Coturnix japonica: one gene and its partners. The protein of the gene in region 4 interacts with the protein of the main gene of each other region in a biochemical or structural test. Links are inferred from orthologs where the notes say so. Each region holds a gene or a part of one and is shown on either strand. Other genes may lie near its edges.

Region 1 (4,253 bases), on a different chromosome or scaffold from region 4:
AAAACCATTTCTATCATGATGCTCCTTTTAAAGTAATTTCCCTTCCATTCTCTTTTATCACAGCCTCTATTCCTAAACAAAATCTGTCTCCATTAGACAATGCCACCAGAATTTGAGAACACGAGGACAGTATCAGGCTTCTGATCCTCTTTGGTACCTGCTCTGCTGCTTTGAATAATGCACAGAGATCTGCACTAAGTTCTGAAGTACTTCTGAATTCTGCTTTAAAATCCATCAGTCACTGTAATTCATTTTAGAAAAGGTTCCACAAAAGCAGCTGTCATGTACAAGTGCAGCTCCTCCAGTGCACGACACACACATCAGAAGAGTTAAAACCTGGTACTAAAATTTCATGTAGGAATCACAACTCCACAGCTCTGAGATCACCACACAAGGTTTGTGTTTAACATTAGCAGATGTGTGGGCAAATTGACAGGACTTCTTTTTTCCATAGTAACTACTGGATCTATAAAATCAATTGGACTATAAAATAATGGAGGTGATACAATAAAAAGACAAAACTCAACTTACGCCTACATTTGTATCCTTGTTTGTTCAGTCCCCTGAAAAACAAATGATAGAGAAGGAAATCATATAAGCACGTGCTTGCTAGAATACAACTTTGGGGTTTTTTCCTCTTTTCACCATGTCATCCAATTTCCTCATTCATTGGAATATTTGTCCCCATTAACAAACCAATTGAAGTTCTGGTATTCAGAACCCTCTGCCTTAGGAAGGCAAGGCTTAGAAAGAAAGGCAGTGAGTTCTGAAAGACCGTCACATTAGCAGGAGAATGCAGGAAAAAACCAAAGCTTCCATCACACGGAAATTCCTCCTGATTTGGTTTACTAATAGAATGACTTTCCCACCAATCTGATCCAGCTTCTCGATCCTGATGGGTCTTTATTCTGCTATTGGCTAATTCGCATCTCAAAGACTGAGACAGTATATGCTTTCCAGCTTGCATTACTGATGAATTTATGTCTATGCTTTATTTCAATATACATGAGGGCAATTTAATAGTTATTTACCCTCTTGGGGGTGAAAGAAGTTTAGCACTTTCTCCTTACCACACAAAGTCTTTGCAGACAGAACAAAACGTGGGCTGTCCAAAAAAGGTAGCAATAAATTCATGATTTTTGATGTAGTGGATTTTTGCTTGCTTGATTGCTCCTCTCCTGTTGATAGTTACTGTTCCCTCTTCTTCCCTCATGGACTGTCTGCAATCTAAGGGGAGAAGGAGGCAGACAAGAAGACATACTTTTAACTCTAAGTCATTACCCAAGTCTAATATTTGTTTCTCCAAAATATTGTTTCCTCTTCTGTTTCCAGCTTGTATTTCAAATTTACACCCCCGTCATCCTTGCAGGCATTCAGTCCAACAAGGGCAAAGCACATAAATAAATTGGTTCCTAATTAGTAGGACACATCTCTTCTGGACAGAAAGGAGCCGATCAGAGACAGTTGTCACCCAGCAGGGAAAGACAGAAGCTTCAACCAACCACAGGCACAAGTGCATTGCTAACCACATCGGTTCTGGTCCGCAGATTGAGGGTCTCATTGTGGAATAACACAGCCATGGCTTACAGGGAGGAAGTGCTGCAAAGTTTAGGCTAATGAGGCTGCCTTGTGCCAGGTGGGATGTTCCACAACCATGCAACAATACAAAAGCCATAAAGTACTTTTCCCATTGCCAACACAGCACTGCAAGGAAGGATATTTTCCAACAGCAGCATGGAGGTAGTGAAAGAGGAAGACACTCTCCAAGCCAGCACTCCCCGAGGTGACACGCTTGTGCTGTGCTGGTAAAACCAGAGCCACGGAGCTGAATCAGCAACTAGAATCCAGGTGACCTCTGCTGCAGCAGCAGCCTGATCCCATCATAATCATTCTGAACCCAGCACACACCATTAACTATCATCTACTTCCTCTGTTGAGAGCAATGGTTAATATTTATCGGTGGCACACTGCTTTTCTATTCCAAGGATCCTCCTCAAAACTTGCAGTTGATGTGACAAAAAGCCCCATGCTCCCCTGTGCCATGTGCTCCTTAAGCACAACTGAGAGCAAATGTCACACTCCTGCAGAGGTGCAGCAGCCATAGCAGTGTGCACTGCACCCAACTGCAGCACCAGGCCTGACTGCAGCCAGCAACACAGCGGGCAAACCACAGCCTGAGGAGCATCTGCTGAGCTCCTACACAGCACCGCTGGGACTCTGCTGAAGCGTAATGAACCTCAAGGCGAGATGTCAGGTTGTCTCAGTTCAACCTCCTAAGTTACAAAAGAAAACAGCCTTCAGAAAAACCCTACTTGGGTTTAGAAGAGAAGGAATAGAAAAACATTTATCATCCTCAGAGTTCATTTTTCTGTTCGTTCCATGATTTTGTTTGTAATCTGAAGGGAGAAGGTCTTTGTGCAGTTCTGCTGCCTTGCACTTGGCCCTGTTTGAAAGTTAAGTGTGCCCTTCAGGCCAAGAAAAACATTAATCTCACGGGGTAATCATTACAAAAAGAAATCTCGCTTCTTGCAGAGGAGACCTTCCTGGTACAAACTGTCTCTATTCAGGTCTCAGAGGGGTCTGCTTTACACCTCTGTACAAAAACATCCACAGAAGTACACGCTTCCAGGAAGTCCGTGCTTCTGTGACACAAACTTGCTATGCTGAACTACTCTGGGGTTTGCGATCGTTGTGATTAACTTACAGGCTGAATATTAACATCGCCAGGTATTTCTCTTTCCTTTCAAACCATCTTTTGCATTTTCCAAACCTGCACAAGCAGGTTTTTTCTTTGGCTGAGAGACATTTAAGCTCTCTGGACAAACAGATTTCCGTACGCCTTGCTGAACAGATGGAGCCTCATCATCGGTACCCCACGAAACTGCCTTGGATGGGAAAGAAATGATGAAGTCCAAGACAAAAGTTTCCTAACATGATGGTCCACAACAGTTTGAATGTCAAACAGAATATCGCTGGTGCATAAACAGATTCCAACCTGCATATGGTTCTTCAGATCCACCAACACATCTATTGTTTTAAATATTTCTTTAAAGAATAAACACTTCACAAAGGAGAACAAAGTAACAAGACAGCAGGCAGCTTCTGGGTTGTGTTCTTTTTGCCACTGCAGAGCTAAAACACCAACTCTGAGATGCTGCAGTGCCACCTCCTGCATATCACCATCTATCTTTAGCAGCCCTTCCAGAAGCTGCCAAGCAGATTGCACATATGGTACGAAAGACCTTCAGAATCAACTTGTTCCATGAGAGTAGAACTAAGAAACCTGTATCTACTTGGAAAAAAAACAAAACAAAACAGCCATACACAAAAACAAACAAAAACACCCAACCCCAAACCAAAATCCCCATCAAACCCACAGCAATGCTTTCAAACTTCCTGCTTACTCCCTTTCCACTGATTATTTATTAACACAGCATTACACCAACTAAGACGGATTGGCTAAAATGACAGATCAGTGATTCCCAATAAACAAAGGTTTTGTGACTTCTAGTACTAGACAGTTAAGCAAGATGTGAGGTTTACATCATTTCCTTCAGGAAAGTTACACAAACCCCTGCTAGAATATTTGTTTCTGTTGGCGTACCTAAAGCTTCCCCCTCTCATAACCAGCTCTCTCCTCTCCTCTCCTCTCCTCTCCTCTCCTCTCCTCTCCCCCACTGTGTGCAGATTTCTAACCCATACCGCCTGTTAACTTCTTCAACTGATACAGCAGAACATTAATACGATTTGCATTTGGCATTTAACCATTCACTCATTGCTGCAATTGATTTCCATGACTAACGAGCATTACAGCTGAAATCCCAGGAAAATGTGACCTACTTCCCCAATCCACAAAGAACATGTTTACCACACAAATTAGAGCAAGACATTTTTAACTTCTTCATGCTTAAAACAGGAACTCAGTACTTTCCTATTCAGTCAAAACATGAGGACAGTCAGATTAAAGGCCCCAGGGTGCCTAAATGCAGCAGTACTACAGAGTATGAAGGCATTTACAAGCTCACAAATGTGGCACCCGTGACTCCACCAAAGCGAAGAACACCCTTATAAAACAAATAAAAATCCCCACAAGATGAATTAATAAGATCAGAAAACTACTCAGTATCCCAGGGGTTGGTTTTTTTTTTGTAAGCTACATCCCATGTTTTACAGAACTGGAAATAAAATCCAACCAGCTGACATTACCTGCATCTTCTAAGTAGTACTGCACAGCCATCAGCACCTTCCCCTGA
Region 2 (3,465 bases), on a different chromosome or scaffold from region 4:
CCTGCAGTGAGGCACGGGGACAGCTGGGATGAGTTTTCCACACACCTGTCATCATGCAGAACCTCCTCTCCCTTTTCAACCCCAGCAAAGGCGAGACTTATCCAGAAAAAGCAATAAAACAGAGGCTGGAGGGCAGAAGACTGTTTGTCCAATGCAGAGCCAGCCTCATGAAGGCCACCATTGCCTGGGAAGGTACACCTGACTCTTCAGCCAGCTCTGGCCCTGTCCCAAGTGCACCCACACAGAAGCACACAAAGATGCTGTAGAGCCCCAGTAGGGCACAGCCCAGCATCCTCAAGGCTTGAGTTCCCTCTGCTGGCCCTGAGCATCTATTCCACTAACAAAGCTTGTGCAGTCTGCTCTGAGGTGTGGTTTTTTTTGCAACCTGAAGGTCGCTCTGAGACATGCAGCAGCTTCTACCGCATGCACAGCACTTTTGCATGCCCAGAGCTGTGACAGCTGGGAAAGCACAAAATAATAAAAAAAAAAAAACAGTTGGACAGTGCAAGGTTGCAAAGGAAATCCAGCAATGCAAGACAGCTGCCACACACAGCACAACTGCATCCCATCGCCCCTACCAGAAAACACACAGAGCGCAGGTGAAGCTTTTGCTAAGCAGGATGTCCCTCCTGCTAACACACACATGAGGTGGCAGCTGTTCCTCTCTTGTACACCAATGCTTTTCTCAGCTAATGCCAGCAGGGGCCCAGGGCTCTGCCATGCTTCACTGAAGTTTTTGCACAGCCTTTTCCATTGCAGGGTGATGTGTTTTTGCCTCCTAGAGTCCTTTGAGATGCAAAAGAAGGGTGAATCAACTCCAGCTCCTAAGCAGGAAGGTTATAAAGCATCCAATCCCAATCCCACACTGCTTCCAAAAGAGAGATGGAGATACAACCCCTCTCTCCCCTCCAGACAGTCAAGGACCCTGAGGTACCAATACCAGCTTTTATTTTGAAACTGACTAAAAGCTTTTGGAGTTTCAAGAAAAAAACTGCAACAGAACACCCAAGGGGAAGCCTGGCTGCCTCAGACCTTGGCTTCAGAGGCCCTGGTTGGTTTGGCTCCCCAAGGAAAAGCTTTCAGATGTGGCCCCATTGGGCTCTCATCAGGCAGATAGATGAGCAGCTGTCCTCTCCCAGGGAGGGGACATGAGGTTACTTGATGCGGTAGAGAACTTTGCGTTGCATGCGGTGCTGGATCTCCCCACGGCGCATCATCAGCTGCAGCACCTTGTAGATGGCGTGTTCAGGGTATTTCTGGAGAGGGAGATAGCAGGGTGAGATGAGCTGGCGAGGAAAAGCTCAACACAGCCCAGCAAGAACTGCAGCCACTGCTAAAGGCTGTGACTCTCTGCAGGACAGCAGGAGCTGCTGCCTTCCTATTTCAACATTTCAGGACTGAGTGCAGCCAGTTTCCTGAGTCAAAACGTTCTGGATTCAATGCTGGACTTCAGTCTATTACCAGGTATTACAAGATACATGAACAGCCCCAAACCTGGACCCCAGCACTCTGACAGAGAAGAAAAACCTCACTCTCCTCCAACTCCACAAACACAACATATGCTGCTCCCTATGAACAGCTTCAAAAGCAAATATGACCAAGGGGCTCTGCAGCTGCCTCCCAGGGAATGAATTCCCACAGCAGCAGTGGGAGTTGCCTGGTTCCAGGGCACAGCCCTTGCCTACCTGCCGTATGAAGTCCTGCACGATGCTGTGCTCTGACACCTGTGAGCCAATGGCAAAGCGGCGCTTGAGTTGCTTCTCAATACGGGACAGCATCTCTTGGTCCTCCTGCGTCGTGAAGCCTTCTGCCCCTGGGGGGGGGGAGAGAGGTTGCAACCAGATGTCACTCTGAAAGCCAAAAAGCCCATTTCCCACGTCTCCCACCACACACACACACACACATCTCAGAGATCTTGAGGGAAGCTGTAAGCCAATGCAGCATCATCCATCCTCACCTGACAAGCTGCCCGACATGGCTGCATCAAGCGTGGACACCTGGAAGAGCCTCAAGGCCTCCTCAACATCAGCCTCAGTGGCAAAGGGTTGCAGCTTCATCTTGCTGAGGGACTCGGCAATGCGTACAATGGCCTCCAGTTGTCTGTGGGTAATGAAGATGCTCCAATTCCCCACTTCCTACTGTAGCCCCAAGGGGTTTTCTCCTTCCCCCAACACTCCCACTCACAGCATCGCCAGTGTCGCCCCACTCACAGTGGGCTCTCCCAAACAACAGCACCCCAATCCTCCAGGCTATCCCAGGCAACACAATGACATAATCCCAACCCTGAGGGTTTTGGTGGGTACGGGAGGACAGCAACACTCTCCCTCCCCACATAGGACCAGGCCCCATGGCTCTCACCTGACAGTGATTGGGATGCTGGAGCGGCGGTCACTCTCCTGCTCATGCTGCCGACTGCCGCTCCGCATCAGGATGTAGCGGTTCTTCAGCTTCTCTGCTGCTGCTACAGACAGCCGAGGGCCACACTTCCTGTGTGAGGGGACAGGAGAGGTGGCACCCTGGGCAGGATGTCCCCTGTGTGCTCCAAGCTGTTCTCACTTGCATCCCTTCCAGGGGAGAGCCCTTCCAAACCTAACCCCTATCAGCCCAAGAATTCGTTCCTTTCACTCAAAGGTGCTTGAGCTGCCTCACAACCCACTCCATACTCCCAGTGCCAGGTGCAGATGGACCAGACCCAGCCCACACATCTGCCTCACTGCACAGTGCAACCCCAGCAGCACCTTGTGATGTGGGCACAGCCTAAAATCACCCCTCTCACTCACGTCCGGCAGAAAGAGATGAGCTTCTTCAGCTTGTTCAACTCAATTTCACCTTCCACAGCCTGTGTCTGCGTCAGGGCACTCACATGCAGGGACATCACATGCTTGGCCAGCGTCTAGGAGAGCAGGAAGCAGTCAGACCGCATGAAACCTCCCTGTCATCCAACCCTCCCCCAAAACAGGGCAGCAGCTTGGCAGTTCAGTGATGCAGTTCCGTTGATACTGAAGAAGGCATCCCCCAACTCTACTCCCAGTGCTTATGCCTGGCTCTGTTGTGACAAGCAGAACTATGGGACCACAAGAAGCTTGCCTTGCTTCAATGTGTCATGGCAGAAGCCTAAGAATCATAAAATTGCTTGAGCTGGAAGGAACCCTTACAGGCTATACCTAGTCCAGCTCCCCTGCAATGAACAGGGACACCTACAGCTAGAGCACGGTGCTCAAGAGCCCCACCAGCCAGATCTTAAGTGTCTCCAGGGATAGGGTATCCACCACCTTTCTAGGCAGTCTGTTCCAGTGCCTCACCACCCTGACTGTAAAAAAAACCTTCCTCCTTGTACCCAACATAAGTCACCCCTCTTTTAGTTTGAAACCATTTCCACTTGTCCAATCACAACAGATCCTTCTAAAGTCTGTCCCTTTCCTTCTTACAGTCCCCCTTCATAGAATTTAAGGCTGCTATCAGGTC
Region 3 (4,253 bases), on a different chromosome or scaffold from region 4:
AACTCTGGCATTCTCAATGCTAGTCAAGCATCTCAATAACATCCTCATGACCAGTGTGCCAAATACATAAAAGTACCTGCACATAAGGTCTGAAATTGTTGTAACAGTAAAGGATCAAAAGAAAAGACTGCTTGCAGCTCTACTTCCATTACACTGTAGGCAGGAATAACAGTTTGCCTTAAGGAAATACTACTACCCTTTATTTAGCCAACCCGTGGTAATCAGGTGCAAGGGAGGTCAGAGGCACCGATAAGACAGGTTTCTAAAATGACTCATCATTTTCCTAAATTAGTATCAGCTTTACAGATAAGACAGATGATGTTTTGTACTATCTGCCATCTGGAAATACTGCCTGCTGCTTCTGAAGAAAATAAAAAGCTATTTCAATTCCTCTCAGAATTCTTCATTGATTACAAACTTTCCTTGAAAGTATCTAGTGTTGACACTGTGAAAAGGCTGTTAAATAGAACAGATTAAAGACTTAACCTACCATACCAAGCTAATGCATGTTACTATCTTTGATTTAACTTGACGTGGATGAAACTAAGCTTTATTCTAACTTTATTGAAGCCAGTCTCTTAAAGCTTCTAATGAACATAACTAAAAGGACTGCTCAATGCTACGCATCCTTATCAGAAGATTGCTTTCACCATGTCTCATCTCCGCTGCTGTTTCCTTGTTACACCTGTAGAGAATCTACCACTTTGCAATGAGAGCATAGTAGTAAGTACTAGCCAGAAATGAACAGCTAGGGGAGCTTTGCTCCCCTTTCATTCTCCTTGAATATTCTGTACTCAGTATACAATAATCCACCCTCACCTGCTCTGCTAGGGCATAAACTTTTGTAGATTCATATGTTAACTGAAATTTAAAGACAGAACACTGAGAAGAATTAGATCAATCTACTCTTCCCCCAGAAAAATCATTACTGCAACTCAAAAGGATTTGGTTGGACACGCTTCTCCTGTACTGTAATGCTTTCTTCACCCCACTTCATCATTCTTTAAAGACAAGAGCAACCACAACTCAGCTAGCAAAAAGCAAACAAAGAATTCCTTAGTAACCTTCAGTGCAAGGAGAGACAGCTCTGTTGCAACCACCTTTACTGACAAGCTGTCAATCTCACACTTGAATGAATGATGAGCACTCACTAAGTCTTGTACTACCCAAAGAAAAGGCAGTAAAGTCTGCAACTTAATAATGTCAGACTGATTATATATGGGAATTTAGCAAGACAAAAGCCAAGAATAGGCTTCAGAGAAGCAAAGAACCAAAGACAATGCAAGCTAACTGTTACATTTATGACAGCTGTAGGACAATACCTGCTCCTCTCTCTTTTGCTTACGCAGCTGAAGACCCTCTTCCTCTCGCCTTCGACGCATTTCATCAGGATTTAGAGATTTGTTCTTGTAGCTCTTCAGTCGGAAGTTTTCTTTTCCTGAGGTCGTCATCGTTCCTTTAAGTTGCAGTTAAGAAGAGAATCAATCAGAACAATTACACTTCAGCAACGCATAAGTAAGTGTAGCCATAAACCAAATGAGCCGCAGGTCAGGTCCCCACCCACAGTCCTCCGCTTTGCTGCTACTTCTCTTACGTCTCCCCATTAAGCCCCTGAAATGTTGAGAACAGTCGCAGCATTTCATAGAATCGTAGAATGACCTGGGTTGGAAGGGACCTCAAGGACCATGAAGTTCCAACCCCCCTGCCTGGCAGGGCCACCAAAAAATGGAGTTACACATGTATGGAACACAATGGAGTACAGAAAATCTTTTGTTTTCACATCAAATTGCTGATATACCTTAGAATCAAGTAAATAAATTCAAACACCACATGGAAAATGATGAGCTAGAAGGACACATCTAACTGGAAAAAGGTTTTGCAGCCACATCAGTCAACCTGCCCTACAACACAAACAAGCATAGGCACACAAACAATAACTCAGATAAAACCTCACACCTCCCATGACATTATACATCATTCTGCATTTCTATCTGAAACATCTTCTCAAACTCACCAAATTAAATTTGCCTTTGTCAGGACTTGGACAGCTCCTGCAATCATTTCACACCTTCACTTTCAGTCCTTAGAAGTTCTCGCTTTGTAGAAATCCTTGACATTTATCATCTTCAATTCTCACTACTGGATTCCATCTTATTTCTATTTTGTAGTCCCTCTTTATGATGCTCCAGTGTTTTTAAGTACCAGTGAGAATCCATCTTCACTGTCAAGTTTCCCTAGCATATTCTTTTTCCTTGTCATTTTTGTCATCAGTGCCTAGAACTTCAGTGTTACCTTCTATTTACTACAACCCTTCCAAGCTTTAGCTAAAGCTTTTGGCTATGCTTATTTCTTACCTTCATGCCAGCTCCCTTTGCTGACTATTAAGTGCACATAAAATCATTTCTAAATAGCGCATTGCATTTTATGTTGAGTAAAGCTTTCCTACAAATTTCCACCAAGTAACGAGGAATACAAAGTTTCTTCTAGTAAGATCAGAAACATTTAGTTTCTTTCAGTGTTGAGAAATCGCTCAATTCAATCACTGAATTCAGGGTAGTCTCTCACCAGTGGCAAATAAAACCCCCACACATTGCCACATATCTGCTTGCCTAACTTAACCAATCCAAAGACACTACCCAAATGCAGCTTCTGCAATTACCTCTGGATGTATTCAGTCCACGGGAATGGACTGTCAAGGGAGGTGGTGGAGTCACCGAACCTGGGGGTGTTCAAGGAAAGACTGCATGTTGTGTTGAGGGCCATGGTTTAGTGGGAGCTATTGGTAATAGGTGAACGGTTGGACTGGATGATCTCGTAGGTCTTTTCCAACCTTGGTGATTCTATGATCCTATGCCCTAAAGGTAAAACGGTGTCATTCCTTTATTGTTTCTATGACCACACCATCTAACCCCCAGCTCCTGACAGCATCCTTACACCTGCTCACTATTTCTTTTTAAGTCAGAAAATAAAAGAATCGTATGTCAGTCGCTACAAACACCCAAGAATAGTTTTCTATAAATCTTCAGCTTTTCAGGTTTTACTCTATAGACAAAAATCAACGAGTCAAAACAAATTCAAACCTTTCTCATTCGTCTTCAGCGGTTTTTCTGCAGCTTAACTGAATATCTTTCAACAACCACTTCACATTCACTCACTGTAAATTACTTCATAGCAAACAGTAAATCCTGGATCTTCTCCTCAAAATTAATGCTGTCTGCGATGAAAGTCGGTGGTGGTTGTCATGGAAATGTTCTACAGATCTTTTCTGTCCTAGCAATAGAAGCGTATTTTCCACGTTTCTGGACACTCCTGTCTACAGCTTCAAATCATTGGTGACCCGATGAGTTTTCATGATGAACTCTTTGATCTTTTGTGCTGTACCACTCAATCACTATATGACACCTTTTACTTTACTTTTTACTTACAAACCTATTTTTAACAAAACAAAAAAGACCTATTTTTGAGTGTCTTCATTCACTAAGGAAGCGTTACCCATTTTTATTTCTTTTTGCTGATCAGTACAAAGGCCCTACCAAAAGCAGAGGTGACTGAAGAATTGGTTTTCAGGAGAAAGGTACTGCATTTCTGCTTGCTGATCAAGTCAGAGAACTTTAGTTTGTACTGGGAAATGCAGAGTCACTTACTGCAATGACCTACCTCATCCCTTGCAATCATCTACATAGGAACAAAAATGAACTTCCTGCCTTCTTACATCAGATATCAATCATCTGAAGTAGGGACACAAATGAGCCCTCTGTCTTCCTACATCAGATATGCTGTCACTAGCCTTAAGAACTTTGCTAGGAGAAATGCTACGTGACAAACACTTGGCCATTCTAACATGTCACAAGTATCCCAATATAAAAATAAAGGCCTTGCTAATCAAGACCAGCAGAAAGGTATATATAACCCAAAAAGATAACTGAAACTAAGATTATGAAATGTACTGATAGCAAATACGTTTAGACACTTTTTTTCTTTGGAATGAGGTGATGGAAATAGGTTATCTGAGAACCATATAGTCATGTATCAGAACAGTAGGTCAATCACTGAGAGAAGATGCAAGATTTCAAGGTAAGCGATGCTTTAACTACTCTACAAAGCTGCAACTGCTACAGAACCTTTACTTTCAATAAAGTATCAGTTTGTTTAGTGGATCTACCACAGCACTTCAGGCATAGTCTGCAAAGTAAAACCATGAATATACAGTTTACGCTGATACAAATAGCAGCAAAGGATTAATGGTATTTTCC
Region 4 (4,253 bases):
AGAGAAACTGCTTCCTAGAGCTGGCTACAGTCCATGTAGTCTCAAAGCAAGATACAACTCGGGCTTAACCCGACACATGTTATTCTTGTCAGTTGATTTAATGAAATACAAGAGATTACACGTATTAAGTTTAACAATAGCCCATGTCTAACACCAGGATAACTTCCAAGAAGACCCAATACACATGGCAATGATCATCCACAACTGCCTGAAAGAGGAGAGGAAAATACTGAACAGTGCACAGTTGTCTAATCAGGTAAGTTAGTTTTGAAATGTCCACTGCAGTCGTGTCTGCCCTTTCCTATTACTTGGGATACCAGCGGGTTTGAGTAGCGTGAGCTATTCAGATGGGAAAGGGCCAGAAAGTGATCTTGATTCTTCCTTCCTTTTCCATTTTACTCTTGATTTACTGTTTATTGAGCAGCTGAGCACTAGTGGGTCTCTGGACTGCCTTGGAAAGTGATACTACTCTTCCTTCCCAGCTACACTCAATTTTACGTTTATGTTTTAAACTGAACTGCTGAGCCATAGGCAGAGCGTATTCTTCTCCTCATCATTATTTTGGCAGTGCATCTGTTTGGATTTTCCCTTCCAAGAACTGTGTTGCAATAAAAAATTCCACAGTTAGAAAAGCCATGTAAACTACAGAGCCAGATCCAACCTGCTAATGAAATTAAATGATACCTGACTGAGCCTGTTATGTTCTGAGACAGAAATTCTTCACTTTGCAGCACATTTTTGACAGTGTTATAGAGAGAACTAAGAGCATTAGAGCACAGGCTTTCATCAGTTATCTTAATGCAGCTGCGTCCAAAATAGCTCCCTTAGATATGCAACTCTGGCAAAGCCATTTCCAGATACTTTCCTCATAGCTGCAGTGCAGCTGGCAGTTTCTGTATTGGCTTATGACACAAAGCACCCAAAACTTCCTTTTCAGCATCCCAGATGTTTCTATTAATAATAATTTTAAAAAAGGAAATAAATCTTCTTCCACATATTGTTGGTGCTACATAAAACACCATACCCTACCCTCTGATTTATTGTAAAAGTTCTTATTTCCCAAAGCAAGCAAACTTAAAAGCACCATAAGAACAAAATAGAGACTCCAGTGTTAGTCAATACTCAGACTGCCATCACAGTCCCATTTCAAGTTACGTTGGGAACCTTTGCCACTTTCTAAGTTGCCTGCATTGGCAAAATAATATGTTTCTAATAATGACACAGTACAACAAAAACCCTGTCTTTGAAATCACTGCAACTCTCCCTGAGAGAAGTCATGCTATGAGCTTCTGAAATGAAACCTTGCAGTACTGAGATCTGAAGGTTTCCTTTAACACGCTGTAGGAAATCAACTGCATAATGCATTACCCTATATGGCAGCTTATCTTGTTCTTGTGCTTCACGCTTTCCTCCCCAGAGCCCAAGTGGTTGAATCTAATATTTAAGGGAGATGCGATCCAGCCTTCAGTGCTGCTGTTTTCCTGGAATATATTTAGAAAACACGTGAAGATAAGCAAGTAAACCAAAAAGGAGTTGTTTAGAAGTTATTTTGTCTGCTTATTCCTATGACATTACATGCAACATCTCCGCATGCTTGCTTTTTCTTCACAAAGTCACTTCTAATAACTCAACTAGGCTGTTTGTCAATAAAAGCCAATAACTGACATTAACTAAATAGTATTTGCTGTTAGTTCAGTCTTGTTTGACTTCTGATTTTGTTCCACTTGCCTTCCTCAGATGGAAGTGGGTGGCGTACAGAACACCATGACTGGGATACTGGACAAACAGAAGGAGCTTGATGCAAAAGTTAAGGCTGTAAAAAACAGTGTTACAGTAAGTATAGTATGATTCCAGCTGTATTTGAAGTAGTGCTTATCAGAATCATAAATGTCAAAGTTTTCAGTGTATGATGTATTCCTTAAATGACAAGTATCATTTTTGGTTATCTACTCAATTATCAGTCAGTAATATTTGTCAAAAGCACTGCAGTATGGATTGGGATTTGGCTACTGTGGCAATATCATATTTCTCATGCTTAAATTGTAGCAGTGAAAACATTTTACCTATGTGGATTATTATGCAACCAATGAACAATTCCTTAAAAGCTCATAAATTGACATTTCATCATGAACTAGAAGATCGAGATTTGCTTTTTTTCTCCTGTCATCAAATCATTGCTTATTGCCATAATAAGTACTATCCCAAAAGTATTTTTTTTTTCAGTGCAATACTCAAGAGTTTAAGAGTTAAAGATGCCATATACTGTCCCCCATGGTAGCTTAGGTTCTCCTTATTCTCTCAACTGGTATGGCCAAGCACTGAGAGCTTTCTGTGTTTTATTATGGACAGATTTTTGTTTGCTAAAATGAGAGAAGCAATGTAACTAGATATTGGCTCACTTCAGAAACACTTCCTGCAAGGGATCTCCAAGGAAAGACATTACTCACTGTACGTGCTTGCTGGCAGGCAGATCCTGGTCAGACAGAGTCTTGCATAATGTGAAACTGAGTAATTGTTCTGTCTTCATTCATGCTTTATAGGATGTAGAACAAGACATCAAGACATTAGAGGATGTACAAGATGAATATGACTTTAAACATAAAACCTTCCAGAGCAGAGGTAATGTACTGAGAACGTATCTTACTGCACACAGTTCATAAGATAACAGAGTTTATTCTTATGTCAGGAAACTTAATTATATATGCAAACTTATTGGTCACATCCCTCCTCCATTCATTCTGCTTTATGCTGAAACCTGATTTCCCCAAGATAGATTGGAAAAGGGAGCATTAAGCCCCACGCTTGCTCTTTGTACTTCCTGGCAGGCAGCGTTTCTCCTTAAGGCACATGGGTGCTTCTAACTTAAGGTCAGTGGGCAGCTGAAGTTGTAGCTGGGGGGACTCTGCATGGGAGCTATCAGCCTTGGTTTTCCTCACCCTTCTTTCCTGTACTCACAAGATCGTATCCTGCTGCAATTTCCCAACCTCAGATTCACAATTTAGACTTGTTTTACAGATTCTGAGCCCAATGGTGCATCACAAGAGGAGTGCAGGAAAGAGCAGATGAATATCCAAAAGATGTTTTTCTTACTTGACATCAAGAGAAAGGTAACAACTTAGTTTTCTCTCAGAAGGGAGCAGCTCTTAGTTTCAAATACTTTCATTGGAATGACACGTCATTCCTATTTAAAAACAAAGAACTTTGCTCGCATATGAAGTTACATCTTGTTCTTTCCATCCTTATTGGAGACCTAGAATTGTGCTGAGCAATAATATTGAGCTGCATCAAACTCAACCAGGTACAGCTCAGAAAACAACAAGAGGAAAACATAGTATCAATAGTCACGCTTTTAAGGCAGAAAAAAAAGCTATCTAAGAGTTGGCATCTATATTTTAGTTAAGCAGATTTATTCATTGCAGTGCTGAAATTTCCAGCCAGCATTAGGAAGTCCCAAGTATACGCTTGAGAAGTATGTAGATAGGATATATTTAGTATCACTACTGAGGAGCTAAATGTTCTTTCTCCATTTAACCTAGCTAATGCTCCAGCTAAGAAGAGGTAGGTGGGTTGGAAGAGCTCCTCTATTGATAGAAAGAAGCTATTAATTTGAAGTCATTGGGAAGTGTCGCAAGGCGAAGCATTACTTAAATCAATAATTATGAATTATCAAGTATTTACTCGATACAGAAAAAATAAACAGGTTAATTTTCCTTTAGGAAGTGGTGGCCAAGATTATACAGCTGTTGAACAACACGGAGCACACACAGAGTGCTCTTATTAACGAGGAGCTGGTGGAGTGGAAACATAGGCAACAGACTGCATGCATTGGTGGCCCGCCCAACGCCTGTCTTGACCAGCTACAGAACTGGTAAGCCTCCAGTCAAGGACAGTGTTGGCCAGGCACTCAAAGTGTGACACATCACCAGACCTGTCAGATATGCCACATGTGCTGATTGTATGTTTTCATTCTGTCAAAGCTTAACTAAAGGGCATTGATTTTACTAACACATCTCCAATGCTACCCATATAAATACAGACCTTAGGAACAGTTACGCTGCTACTGTCTCAGCATCGTTACACTGAAAACGTGCTGGAAATAACAGGACTGTGTCATTGTAGGTTCACCATCATTGCTGAAAGCCTGCAGCAAGTCCGTCAGCAGCTCAAAAAGCTGGAGGAACTGGAGCAGAAGCTGACTTATGAACATGACCCTATCACAAAAAACAAACAAGTTTTGCAGGACCGAACACACA
Region 5 (4,253 bases), on a different chromosome or scaffold from region 4:
CTACGTTGCTGATTAAAAGCAACACGTATCACCAAGAGATGACTGAGCAGCTTTTGCATTTAACTGAATCACACTAGATTAGATTCTAAGTACAGGGGGATGAGAACAATTTAATGACACATCTTCCAGAGGATGCAAGACTTATCCAGAAGCAAATTAACCACCCAATGCTTCAACACAGTGAAGCTCCACCATCCAGAGAGGAGACCAACAGCATATTTTCTCCTTCTCTTTTGACACTGTTGGCTGCTCCTGTGTCAAGATTCATCCAGCAAAGGAATCCCGCAGAGCCAGCTCTCCAGAAGGTAACCAGATGTCCTGAGAGCTGGCACAGGGATCTCCTGGCCGTGCCATGCAAAGAGTCCCGGTCCAATGGACTGTTAATTGATTTTCAAAGTGTTAATACTTCCAAGATTTACATGCATCATTACAACCACTTGGCAACAGTGGCATGGCAACAGCCATGTTTCTTTCAATAGTGGATGACAAGGACAAGAAAGGCAATGCATTTTCTGAAAAATAATGATAACTTGGAGAGCTCTTTGAACATCTCAGCAGTGTAATTACATTTATTTCCTTAGGAACAGGGGCTTTAAATAGGGAAGAATGCCTATTATTCAGGAAAAAAAGACGACAACTAAGAAGAGCAGGATGGCATTTAATATTTATCTACCTGGCTGAAATGAGAACAATACCAATAAAAGGGAGCAATTAGGAGTTCTCTTGAAAGCACTTAAATCAATAGGGCTACAGTGACCCCTCTGAGGCTGATCATTGCTTTTGTTGTTCAGACTGTGCTTTATTAAGATACAGACTGGCTTGAGGGGGAGGGAAAATTCTGGTAAGAAAACAAAAAAAATATATATTTTTGTAATTTTTATTTTTTAAACTTTTTCCCCTCCTTTTTTATTAGTGGTTTATTTTTGAGAGGATTTTTTTTCCTCTCAAAACATGGGAAAAAGGCATTAGAAGTTAAGCTGACTCAACTCAAGACATTCTGAAGCTTTACGCTCCCTATGTTTTCAGGCATCTGTGGATGCTGAAGCTCCTGCAAGTTGTAAGTCAGGATGAAAACAGTCCCTGCAGAGCAAATGGAAGCTGGAATATAGTTTGAATGCATTGCCTGTACCTGGGAGAGGATTGCTGCTCGTGCACAAGTGGCAAACTAACACAGCTCAGCCAGCTAAATCATGGCAAAGGGCTACGCAAGCTGACACAAGGCTGCAGCAAGGCCCTGCTGTGGGCCTGCATTGAGCCCCCACTAACTCTGTTCTTATGGCACCAAGCAACACAGCCATGACTTCAGCTGATCCACCACCTCACTGCTGACAACACAGTAATTTGCTTCCACTACACTTTCCCATGCAAAGAATCCTTATATATACTCTCAAAACTGTATAAATAAAGTTGTATTACAGAATTCAAGAACAGTGGGAAACACAGCGTAAATACTATGTATTATTTCTGCAACTGTTTTATCCACGTACTTTATAAACCTGATAATTCAAATGACTTCATTTATTTGAATGTCAGAACGTACCTTTTAATGACCCATTCTGGACACCTTGACACTGCTCTAAGAAGTCTCCCTGCACTGACCCACATAACAACAGCTAAAGAACCTTTCTAAACAGATCTGATCCCAATTTAAATCGGAACAACAGAGCTTCAGCAGAACTTCTGTTAAGTAACTCACAGACTAAGCATCATTCCTGAAAACATTTATCATCTACTTTCATATTGGTTTACAACATATGTGTATTTAAAATCCAGTTATTCAGAGTTATGACTTCACTTAAAAATATGAAGAAAAGTTGCCTTCATCTTTAACTCCTAAGGAAGGTGATTAAAAACAGAGCATTCGATCACAGCATCCCTCTGTCTGCAGGTAAATAGGGAAGTCACTGTCACTCTTCCTCACTTATATGCTCCTGGTTCTCCTCCTGCAGCACATCTCTGTAAGGAGCACATCCAACTATCCCTATTTCGTCTTAGCTGTGTAGGTGGTAAGAACAAAGAGGGATCTCTGCCTGCATCACAATGTGCTCCCTGACAAAGAACAGTAAGGCACCCCCTTTTTTAACTCCTAAAAGAAGTTTCACTTCTTCAAACAGGAAATTTTGCTTATGGTTACTAAGGAGAAAATCCTGAAAGGAAGATGAAGATGTCTTGAAAATAAGGAATACACTGAGGAACCTTCCCTCAACCCAGACCTTTCATTATTACGACCTATAACAAAGGAAGAGACCAATAAAACTCATCCTGCAGGCCATCACACTATAAGGCAGGCAGCTACAACGAGAAGAGGTGATGGGAATATTACTTCTATTGAGAAGACTGCAAGGGAAGAGGCAAGCAAACAAAAGCCTTCCCTTCAATCTATGGTGTTCAATACAACTCCCATGCCATCAGGAGTCTCAAATACCAATGGAAAATGAAACCAATGTAATGAATGAAAAAACATGAGATGAGTCTCGTAAGCAGTTTTAAGATACCATAAAACCCTTAAGCACACTTCACTGTATTTGCTCTTGAATACTTCTTGGTTTATTTTGTGTTTAAATGCAAATGCTCCGTTAAAGCTGGATAAACTACTTGGTGAGGAAATGGCTCAGTTTAAAATTGCGTATGTAGTTATACCTGCCTGAGCCACACATATATTACACTGTATGGCTACTTAGTGACAGCATTTCTATGACAAGAACAGTGTTACTAAAGGAGGTGTTGGAAACACAAGTAACCCAGACTGAATCACCAGAATGACACAGTGCAGCTCTGCCTCTGTAAGAACCATCTTCTCCCAGCTACTGACCTGCAAGAACACTTAAGGAGAAGCAATGATTCTTAACACTGGGAATTCAACCTGTTTGTAACTGTTAGTTTGAAACAGGCTCTGCAGCGCACTCTGGTTTGGTTGGCACATTGTGTTACAAACTGAAATTCACATCCACTGCTTTATTCTAAGAAGACTATGTCTAATAATTAAATGCAATGCAAGGTATATACAAGAGATCAAGATTCAATCTCTACAAACTAAAACTTTATGATTTCTTGGGCACATCCATGCATCTGTGATGTTATTCTAATGTAATCCTATGTAGCTTTCTTTCAAAGAAAAGAGCTCCTGTGAAAGAGCGTTGGCCAAGATGTACGGGGAGGGATTCATGCACATCACCTGAGCAGCAGCCACTTCCTTACCACCTGAGTCCTTCTGGGCAGAAACTGGAAACTGCGAGGATACTGCTGGCATCAAGAACACAACACGCTGCTCCCACCTCTGATTCAAGTAACATTAAAGGAATTCTACTTTCAAAAACAAACGAGCCCCTCCCAGCACAACACAGACCGTAGAAAACAGAAGAGCTCTTTAACAAAGTATGCAAGAAATCAGTTTTCAGACACATACTTTTTTTGCGGGGCTGAGATGGTGATGTGGATTGTGAAGTGGTTCCATTTGTGCCACTTTCCTCTTCCTCCTTAGCATCTACTTTTATTTCAGGCTTCTTTTCTTCTATTTCCATTGGCTCTTGTTTCAGCTCAGTTCCTTCTGTTTCCTCTTTTGTTTGTGAAGATCCTTGTAAATCCTCCTCCACCTTAAGAAAGGAGGCAATAAGATGCACTGTTACACCTCTGACCCAGGCTTCAGTCCTTTAAATATTAGCTTATGAGATTGTCAAAGCACTCTCCATCCATGGCTTTCCTCAGGACAGTTACTTGCCAGTAACTACCCTCTTCTCACCCCTTAGCTCATCAATTCAGACATATCATTAAGTGCTTTTATATCTATCACTGCTTTCAGTTAAGCTGTATAGAATCTCATTTACCTCAGTCTTAGCTTCCACTTGTGTCTCACTAGTCTCTGGCTCAGTTTCTTCAGTTTTAACTTCTGATTTGCTTTCTAGCATTGGTGCATCTGGTCCTAGTTGCTGGGAATTCGTATCAGCACTAGCAACTGAGGCAGGGGTGGGGACCCTGTTATCAATACTAGCTGCTGCCTGGGATAGCTGTTGTAAAAACAGTACAAAAGAAAGACACTGCATATATAGAAATATTTTCCTTTACTAAAAAATGAACAGCACAAAAAAAGAGACATGAGATGATATTCTAAAACAGTGCAGAACATGGATATAGGAGCTCACTGTAGGCAAGTTTCTATAGAACACATTCAGTAACTCTGTTTTACAGAGTGAAAGCAAAGGAAGATCTCTGCTCCAAACAAAGAGGCTTCTTTTACAGAGAAAACACCTGCCCAG

What was found.
Region 1: of the proteins of STAT1 (region 4) and PRKCD, one has a biochemical effect on the other in vitro, tested with the Homo sapiens proteins (2 studies listed by BioGRID). The link is inferred for Coturnix japonica from reciprocal best matches to the Homo sapiens genes STAT1 and PRKCD.
Region 2: the proteins of STAT1 (region 4) and MCM5 form a complex in vitro, tested with the Homo sapiens proteins (2 studies listed by BioGRID). The link is inferred for Coturnix japonica from reciprocal best matches to the Homo sapiens genes STAT1 and MCM5.
Region 3: the proteins of STAT1 (region 4) and KPNA1 form a complex in vitro, tested with the Homo sapiens proteins (2 studies listed by BioGRID). The link is inferred for Coturnix japonica from reciprocal best matches to the Homo sapiens genes STAT1 and KPNA1.
Region 5: the proteins of STAT1 (region 4) and CREBBP form a complex in vitro, tested with the Homo sapiens proteins (5 studies listed by BioGRID, with this or other methods). The link is inferred for Coturnix japonica from reciprocal best matches to the Homo sapiens genes STAT1 and CREBBP.

Annotation. Positions count from the first base shown.
Region 1 is NC_029527.1:573,887-578,139, reverse strand, and holds part of PRKCD (protein kinase C delta type), read right to left. Parts: coding exon 4,207-4,253; intron 1,228-4,206; coding exon 1,071-1,227; intron 564-1,070; coding exon 532-563; intron 1-531.
Region 2 is NC_029516.1:47,598,486-47,601,950, forward strand, and holds the end of MCM5 (DNA replication licensing factor MCM5), read right to left. Parts: intron 2,894-3,465; coding exon 2,781-2,893; intron 2,488-2,780; coding exon 2,359-2,487; intron 2,101-2,358; coding exon 1,958-2,100; intron 1,814-1,957; coding exon 1,686-1,813; intron 1,257-1,685; coding exon 1,155-1,256; 3' UTR 932-1,154; downstream 1-931. UniProt on the Homo sapiens protein: Acts as a component of the MCM2-7 complex (MCM complex) which is the replicative helicase essential for 'once per cell cycle' DNA replication initiation and elongation in eukaryotic cells.
Region 3 is NC_029516.1:69,217,979-69,222,231, forward strand, and holds part of KPNA1 (importin subunit alpha-5), read right to left. Parts: intron 1,457-4,253; coding exon 1,323-1,456; intron 1-1,322. UniProt on the Homo sapiens protein: Functions in nuclear protein import as an adapter protein for nuclear receptor KPNB1. Binds specifically and directly to substrates containing either a simple or bipartite NLS motif.
Region 4 is NC_029522.1:2,028,957-2,033,209, forward strand, and holds part of STAT1 (signal transducer and activator of transcription 1-alpha/beta), read left to right. Parts: intron 1-157; coding exon 158-256; intron 257-262; exon of another isoform or gene 263-1,481; intron 1,482-1,737; coding exon 1,738-1,833; intron 1,834-2,447; exon of another isoform or gene 2,448-2,532; intron 2,533-2,540; coding exon 2,541-2,619; intron 2,620-3,015; coding exon 3,016-3,107; intron 3,108-3,716; coding exon 3,717-3,868; intron 3,869-4,038; exon of another isoform or gene 4,039-4,119; coding exon 4,120-4,253. UniProt on the Homo sapiens protein: Signal transducer and transcription activator that mediates cellular responses to interferons (IFNs), cytokine KITLG/SCF and other cytokines and other growth factors.
Region 5 is NC_029529.1:11,029,363-11,033,615, forward strand, and holds part of CREBBP (CREB-binding protein), read right to left. Parts: intron 4,005-4,253; coding exon 3,825-4,004; intron 3,594-3,824; coding exon 3,407-3,593; intron 1-3,406. UniProt on the Homo sapiens protein: Acetylates histones, giving a specific tag for transcriptional activation. Mediates acetylation of histone H3 at 'Lys-18' and 'Lys-27' (H3K18ac and H3K27ac, respectively).